2 linked regions of the Xenopus tropicalis genome follow. The protein of the gene in region 1 purifies or fractionates together with the protein of each later gene. This does not show direct contact. Links are inferred from orthologs where the notes say so. Each region holds a gene or a part of one and is shown in the gene's direction. Other genes may lie near its edges.

Region 1 (4,546 bases):
GCTTTGGTATCATGACTTTCCTTTGGCCAGGTTGGAGCTGCAGAGTGCCATTGAGTCCTATGGGAGGCTTCCAAAATCATGCACAGGAGGATCAAAGTCAGAAAAATTTTCCCGCCGTTTACGATCGTTCGGATACAAAAATTTATAGACTTTTGGATCGCCAATACGATATTATCGTGACTAATATGTTTTTTTCATAAGCATTTTCGTGATATTTCCAATCATCAGAAATTATCGTATCTAATCCGAATTTTACCCATTTCGGAATTTGAACTCGTACTTTGATGAATCAACCCCTATGAGTAATAAAATCTTTAACTTGGTGACACCAGAAATTAACCTTTTTTTTTACATCCATTAACTTTGCATGCTATTAATAATTTTGCCTTAAATGTATTTGCCCAATGTTTGTATATTGCCTATCTGATCCCCCATGTTCCTCTAAGAGGGGGCTGCCATATTTGTGCAGCACAAGTCCGTTAGCATTAGAAGCTGTAACTGAACATGTAACATAAGAAAATAAAATGTAGTAGAATTTTTGGTATGGGTAAAAAAACATCCGATCCCCAGTATTTAAACACCTCAGTGGCAATTGTGTTCACCTATGGATATCAGCTAGCCTGTTATCCATCCCCACTAACCGCGATTAGAAACAATGTAGAGTACATAGTGGGAATACTAGACCCTGATTATAAGATGAACTTTGGACTCAGGAACTTGAAACTTAGGCACTTACTAATTTTCAAGAATGACCCAGTATCCCTAGCAATAACAAAATAAAGACTTGTGGTCCACTAGAGATCACCGGAGGAACCTAAAAGTACAACATGTGAATATACAATATATAGTACAATATGTGAATGCCTGACACCCTCAAAGATACTAAATGTAAAGATTTAGCATCCTTTGAATCCTGGAGAAATTCCCATTAGACATGGGCTATCCATTTTATACAAGAGTCTTTAGGCTTGTAAAAACCTACCTCACATGTATGTATATGGAAATCAAAATTAAAGTCAATTTTTTAAAACAAAGGGGAACTACTGCTCCAGCACGCGACTGCGCATGCACGCCAAAGCACACGCGTTAGGGGGCGGGGCGATGCGGCCGACCGGGTTAGGTTGGCCCCCCCCTGTCCGTAGTCTTTGTGAAAACCACAATTTTTTTGTGGGAACTTACCGAAAACCACAAAAAAATTTATATAATTTTAATGAACTTTTCGCAGACATTTTAAAACGTTCTAGAAGTTAGAAAACAATTGGAAAAAATACAAATTTATCTCTAAAATGTTTAGTAAACGGCCCCTAGGTTTATATACAAATTTTATATTGTGTTATAAAACAGCTTACGAACCACTAGTTTTTATTTTCTTTTAGCTGATTAAGAGGACTTAACACCTACATTAATTTCTTTTTGGTTAACAAGTTTTTTTTAGTTCTCCGGCACATGTCGGAACCCCGAGAAGAAAATATTGCACAAAAGAAAGATCTTTCTTTCTAACAGAAGAACGTTACGGAAAAACATCGAGAGCAGACCCACGCAAGTTCCCACTGTGTAAAACTGAGTTACGCCGACTAGTTCCTCCCACAAAGGTGCTGCGTAATGCGTCACAGCGCTTACGTGCAGTCGTGACGTTAGTCTCGCGTGAGGATACGTGGCGTTGTATTTTTTGTGAAACCAGGATCCTGCTACAAGCGTGCAGTTAACAGCTTTTCGAGAGGTGTAAGTAGCGATCCGGGACTACGGGCTGTTTTAGGAAAGGCTGTACTATTGTGCAATATGCACTTACTTGGGTGACCGGGCCCATTTTTGTCTGGGAACTGCAAATTTCGAAAGAGATGGCGGGAGCTTGGGTTCCTGCATATTCTTTTACCTAAACAGCTTTCCGTACTTCTTGTTTAGTCACTGAACTTTAAGTCCCGCCAAAGCCGATGGTAAAGATCTTTCCGAAGTCTGCAGCTCCCTGACAGCAGGGGGCCGGTATCTAAGTAAGAGCAGTAGTACAGCTTGCCCCTCTTACCCAAAACCCACCTGGCCCGGGAGGACTCCCCTGGCAGCTCTGGTTACTTTCTCCCTCTTTGAAGAACAATGACATTTTTAGATGTATAGATCTTGGAGATAAATTAGATTTTCAAATAGTTTTATGTCCCGTATAACCTATTTATGTTAATGGAGATTAGTCACAAAAGGTAGTGTCATCCCACTAATAAAGATAAAAAAAATCTTAACCAGACTATTTAATATGGACGCTTGCATCCTTTCTGATGTTTGCAAGCTTTTATGAGAATTGCTTATGAGAAGACAGAGTCCATATACCCCATTGTGCCCTGAAATTGACCACTGCTAATGCTGGCTGGTGTGCAGATGCAGGCTGGCCACAGTCCCCACAACCCTGCAATCTTTATTATTGGCTTGGTTGATTACTAGTACATTGGTTCAAACAAAAAACGGCCAGCGTCTGTATGCATAATGGTAGTATTGAGGAAATTTACAAATGTAAATCAGACTCCAGGCCTTAGGCCATAGGAAGTTTTCTTGCAGTCTATTGGTGATTGTTTGCAATGCATAATTATGGTGTAAACTTAATACTCAATAGCTCTACCTATTTCTGAAGATGCTTTGTTTAAATGGGGAATTTTATTTTGTACTTTTGGGAAGTTAAGTGATACTGACACCAACAAATTACTCTTCAAAATATTAATGTACATTAAAACTTACCCATAGGTCATGTTGATTGTTTTTCACTGATACGGCTGCTTTTGTAAGTAATTGTTACTGAAAATTCCTAAACTTGACTGTTGTGCCAAGCTGACTGTCCCTTCCCAACCTGTCAGTTATAGCTTTAATGCTAACGGGCTATTGCTGCACAAATATGGAAGCCCCCTCATAGAGGAGCATGGGGGATCAGATAGGTAATGTAAAAGAACTGCCCAATAATTATATGTAGCATATAAAGATGGTGTTATGATAGATGTGAAAAATGGTTTCATTTCTGGTGTAAGTATCACTTTAGAGATGGACCTCTAGGCAATTTCATTTTCTGTTTTTTTTTTTTTTTTTTTTTTTTTTAATTCCAGTCTGTTGAAATCCCTAATCAAAAAGCTTGTAACTTAAATGTTATTCATATTTTTCAATTGGAATGCTGTTATATGCGCACAGGTCAAATTTGTAAAGCCATGGACATATGAAGATGAAAGACATGTTGACAATCACCCATCAAGCGAGTGCTTGCAATTGCCATTTAAGTAAATTGGAGCATTTTCCTGCCCTCTAGGTCACTAGGTTACTAAATGCAATGGGGTAAAATCATTTGACCTTTAAGGGCTCTGGCACACGAGGAGATTTGTCGCCTGCATTTTATTCCCCCTGGCGCTTTGGCGACAAGTCGCCACGACAATACCCACGAAGAGATTTCATGCGAATTGAGCTCCAGGCGATCTGCTACCCATAGTACACTCAACAGTTAACCCCCCCTCTCATTTTTACTCAATTCGCTCAGAAAAGGGTCTGTGTGCGATTTGAAACAGCAGGCGATTTGAAGTAGCCTCGTATGTTTTGAGGCTGGCGATTTCCATTGATTTAGCATTGGCGTCTTGTCGCCAAATCGCTTTTTTAAAAATCGCCGGCGACAAATCTCCTCGTGTGCCAGAGCCCTAAAGGGCAATGTTTCTGTTGACATTAGTTTTTTGGTAAGTTGCGCACCCCTTGGTTTTATTAACTCTCTTTAGATTTGTAGTAAGACATTGGTTAATTTGATTTGTAGCAGCTTCTCCTGTTTTTGGTTGGTTGGGTTTTGTCAGTCTTCCACATTTTTGGCCTCAGATGCCAGTCTAATTGACAGCACAAGTATTTTCTATATTACATTGCTGCAAAGTCATACAGGTATTAATGCAGTAGGGTTATTAGCTAGGTTATGTTGTATTGATTTCATTGTTCACCTTTTTTTACCTGGAAAGACATAATACATTTTTAGGGTTCAAAAAAGGGACATTACATTAGTTCAGCCTGTACATTTTGGTATATTATATTTTTATTTAAATTTTTTTAACTTGTATTAAGCTGGCCATACACGCACCGATAATATCGTACGAAACCTCGTTTCGTACGATATTCGGTGCGTGTATGGCAAGTCGGCGAGTCGACCGATATCGCAGGAACCTGCTGATATCGGTCGACTCACCGATCGGACCAGTTAAAAGATTTTGATCGGGCGCCATAGAAGGCGCCTGACCAAAATATGCCCTCAGCGCTGAATCGACAGAAGGAGGTAGAAATCCTATTGTTTCTACCTCTTTATCTGCTGTTTCAGCCCTGAATGGTTTGTGGCTGATTGTAAGATCGCAAATCGCCACGTGTGTCGCCACCTTTAGTCTGTGACATTTTAGTTGTGACAATTTTCAGCTTTTTGATGGCTGTATGATAAAAATAAGACTCTAAATTGAAGCTAGTTTGTTTATCATATTTCAGCAGTCTTTAAAGTGTTTTATGGTCTTCTACACCGAGCAATTTATTGTACATGGTATTATCCAGTGTTATAGTATCTGTT
Region 2 (4,285 bases), on another chromosome or scaffold:
AAAACCAGGTGTACTGCCAAAGCCTCATTTAGGCTGCAAGTCCACATAGGAGCTACCAATTAGCCCTTATTTGGCACCCTCATGGACATTTTTTAATGCTTGTATTGTTTCCCAACTCTTTTTACATTTGAGTGTGGCTCAAGGGTAAAAAAAAGGTTGGGGATCCCTGTAATACATTATGTTATAGCACATTGGGCCCCAAATTTTACACTTCTATGGGGTCCCAGTAAAATGGGGGTTCTAATCATCCAGGGTTGCCAACTTTTCTGGAAAAAAATACTGGCCTCCCTACGTTTTTGACTTTTTTTTAACTATTAACTTTGACATCAAGCATTGCTGTTGCTGGCCAGGTAGCAACCCTGCCTAGGATAGAGGTGAGGGCCCTGGCCAATAAAGGGAAGCTTGGTCCCCTTTGTCAGGTATTATATAAATCAAGATGATCCATCATTCAGCCCACCAGCATTGTGTGAGTATGAGAATCTTATGAGTAAGATATAAGTATCTTATGAGTAAGCATGTTACCCAGAGAAACTGAGAAAAGTACATGGATAGATTGTAGCAAATCGTGCTACTTCATTTATTTCTGACACAAATGATGTTGTGTTAACGTATTGCTGGGAAGTTAGGAGGTGCAATTGTACACCTGGAGGTTCGACATGCCTAATGTCCCCGAAAATGCCATCTCTGCCCAACCCTATACTGAGCCGCTTTGGTGTGGCCGGGCATTGCTGAACGTACAGCACCGCGCACCGGGACCCCATGGCTGGAGATTGCATTACAGCGAGTCATACGGACCCATTTAGCCAAACTACGTTTAAACTCGCTTTATCTGGTAAATCCATTGCGCGGACAGCTGCCCCAGACCAGAGATGGAGACTACGTGGCTCTTATTAAACCCCCGTTATCGCGGCCTCTCCCCTGCACGGATTGTGTGTTCCAAGTTGTGAATGTCTGTGGAACTTATGGCACTGGGAGTCGCGGTGTAACAGCCGCAGGTGGACTAATCGCAACATATACCATGATTCACAGATTTACATCCAGTAAGTTCCCTGCAGTCGATGCTCTATGGTACACACGAATTGGCTTCCTTGCTAACCATACGTGACTCCCCCTTTACCCCAGCTAATGGTTGGGACGAATATTGAGCTGACAAAGGCCTATTAGGCTTTGTTTGCCCTGTTTGGCACGATGGCTTACATTCTCGTCTTTTACTTATTAGTCAAACTTGTTCGCCGACAGAAAATGACCAAACTGATGGGGGAGGGTGAGGAAGAAGGAAACATTCCCCCTTTGCCCGCTCACTTGCCTTTAAGGAAAAAAAAAACCTACATGACGCAACGAGACGGTGGAAGCAAAGCCAGCCAATAGCAGGGCACTTCCACTCTGTACCGCCCACCCGCTGCTTCTGAATCGTTCAATTTCATTGTGCGCGGTAACCAATGGAAAGGCGTCTTTAGGAGCTCCGCCCGTCAATCAGTGCACCTCCCCTTTGAGGTGAACCGCCCCCTCTAGAAGCTTTGCGTCGTTTCCGGCTGCTGCTACTGAAGCTTCCCTCGGCCGAGTGAAGAAACAACAGCCGCCATTTTGTTTGTGTGTGAGGGACGGAGCCCCGGCCGGAGTCCAGCACAAACCGCAGGGCTACCGGAGGAGAAGGAAGGCTGGATACAAAGACAAGCCTTCCCGTGAATCATCTCTGGAAACAGATACACCTTGGGGCCGGTGTCTCCGTGTCTTCTTTCTAAACCAGTCTAGGGCTACTGCGACCCCTCAGCTCCCCCGAGAGACAAGGCGGTAACACCGGCTACTGTGGGACGAGGATTTCCGGTTAAGCTAGGCCTCACGGCATCAAGCGGCGGCTTCACCTGTGTTACCCCGATCTACCTTGAGCCGAGTGTTCCGAGCAGGAGACCCTCCCTCCTGAGAGACTGCGGGAGAGGCCGCGGGGGAAGGGATTCAAGCAATTATAGTGAGACAGGCCGCGGGATCTTGCAGTGGGCCCGGGCCGGTACTTCAGGGCTCGCCTACCCCCAAAGCGTTCCCAAAGGGGGCGGGGATGCGGCCTTTGAGCGGCTGAGTTTAAAGCCGTGACACCGGCACATACAGTCGCAGCGATGCCGCCCTCTGAGCAAGGCAAGAGCCCGAGGAAGTGCTGCTGAGCCGCCTGGAACGCTATTCCCTAGTCACTCTCAGCACCTTTACTCGCAGCTTTGACTTCTCTCGTTTCAGCCCATTTAAGACACAGGGCCTCCTTAGTGGTGGGAAGCTGCTCCCTGGGCTATTCCTCCAATTTCACCCATCGCCCCCCACTATTGGGGGTAGGGGGACGACGATGGGTCAGAAGAGGCCCAGATATTTGGCCGAAGTTGGCGTCCTGAATGTTGTGGACAGTTTTTGTGTGAGAGAGGAGAACGTAAGCACCTGAAGCAGCGAGGAAGGAGATCGCCTACCTACATTGGGTGTCTAGTGAGTGCATTGGTAGGGGCAGGGAGGGCTCACCTCCTGGCACCCCTGGCCTTTTAGTGACTGCACGCAGAATAGTGAGGGTTGGATCGGCTAACTGAATCACTACAATTGGCAACAATGGCTGAAAATTTAGTGGATCCTGGGCCCCCTTCGGCCAAGAAGCCCAAGATGTCTTCTCCTTCCCTGTCTTCCAGTGATGTTCCAGGTCAGTTCTTGTGATCTAATGTCCACATACCCATGAGGTTCTACTCACCCTTCACCCAGGGCATGTTGCACACCTCTATACACTACATTTAAGCTGTTTCTATGCATGCCAGCCTTTAAAACTAACCATAGCATCAGGGATGGCCAATCTGTGGCCTTCTTCCTGTTGCAGTACAGTTTTTAGGATCATATGGTAACATTTTTAGTTCACTTTTTGCCGTAGTTTGCCATAGGCCTCACTAGTCATTTTGACTTTGTTCGTTTGTTATGTGTATCTCGATTTTACAGCAACTCTCTTAGCTTTACATTGACTTGGTGTCATATTGTATCTGTATAATAAATTTTATGCTGCCTGTTTCTTTTTCTCCAACCTTTTGTATGTTGTCTCATTTTACAGTTCAACAAAGTATCACTTTGGCTGCCTTTTCTTGTGCATTTGAGCTATGGTTTTTTTGTTGCTTCTGAAGTTGCAGGGCTCTTTTATAATTAGAAAAAGCCACTTTCCTTTGCTTAAATATGGCAGAACATTGACTTTACACCCAGATTAAAAATTAAGTATCATGTTTTGAAAACTGTCAATTTACAGCTCAGTGACAGACACCCCTTAAATATCTCCCATGGCTTTTATTCAAATCTGCTTCATTTTAAAGGGAGAGAGTAAAGGGTATTAGTATGGTTTCATTACCTATATGGGGATTCTAGTGAATGCTATAGTGAACTCAAGTGTTAGGACACATCACACCAGAACAAGTTCAGTTTCAAAGGTTGCAACTTTTACAGCACAAATTCTCTTTGCAAACTTCTTTTGTACTATACTTGTAAATCAGACACCCCTGGATTTTTTTTTCTTTTTTGCTGGGGTTCTGTCCTGTAAAAAAAATGGTTGTGATTTATTTGATTTGTAGTTTGCTGCACTTACATTTTTAATAGCTTTTTATTCATTTATTTTTTGTCCCAAACAAATGCACCTAATCGCAGATAAGGTAACTGGCATATAGGTGATGGTATAAAAAATAGCAGTGGACTTTTTTTTTTAATTCAGAAGTTTGCTTTTTAAAACATTCCCTTTACATTACACTACTACTCTATCTTTGTAAATTATACTGTTTATGTAAAACAAGCACAGCTTGTTTTGAAACAGCCTTCTGGCAGAATTGTTCGGTCCCAGTGTACATCTGAGATTGAAAAGGAGCAATAATTCACAGCGTACCTTTTTTTTTTTACCTTGTACCAGAAATATATATTTTCTGGCTATGACTAAGGGAAACTTTCCTGGTACCCATGTTATAAAGTTACATAGACTTCACTTTGCTCAGCAATATCATAAGAGTATACTACATAGCCAGAAGTATCTGGACACTCCTAAAATTGTAAGTTAGAGCACTCACTACAGTCCCTAGAAGAAATGTCAGTGTAATAACTGTTCATCAGGAGCAGCTGCACAAAAGTCCAACATCGCTGTTACTATCCCAAGATCTTGCTGGAATGGCTTTAAGGCTGCTGCCATTGGAATCAGCAGACTCAGATCAGTGCTAACCCATGCTGTGGAGTGATGTATTGTGCTTCACCATCTGGACAGTCGAGTGTGGGTTTACTTGAATGTGTAATAATGAGAGTA

The links.
Region 2: the proteins of nfya (region 1) and ep300 purify together in Homo sapiens (affinity purification with western blotting, with the first as the bait; 3 studies listed by BioGRID). This does not show direct contact. The link is inferred for Xenopus tropicalis from reciprocal best matches to the Homo sapiens genes NFYA and EP300.

The regions. Positions count from the first base shown.
Region 1 is NC_030678.2:71,402,014-71,406,559, reverse strand, and holds the start of nfya (nuclear transcription factor Y subunit alpha), read left to right. Parts: upstream 1-1,654; 5' UTR 1,655-1,722; intron 1,723-4,546. UniProt on the Homo sapiens protein: Component of the sequence-specific heterotrimeric transcription factor (NF-Y) which specifically recognizes a 5'-CCAAT-3' box motif found in the promoters of its target genes.
Region 2 is NC_030680.2:115,938,690-115,942,974, reverse strand, and holds the start of ep300 (histone acetyltransferase p300), read left to right. Parts: upstream 1-1,434; 5' UTR 1,435-2,580; coding exon 2,581-2,668; intron 2,669-4,285. UniProt on the Homo sapiens protein: Functions as a histone acetyltransferase and regulates transcription via chromatin remodeling. Acetylates all four core histones in nucleosomes. Histone acetylation gives an epigenetic tag for transcriptional activation.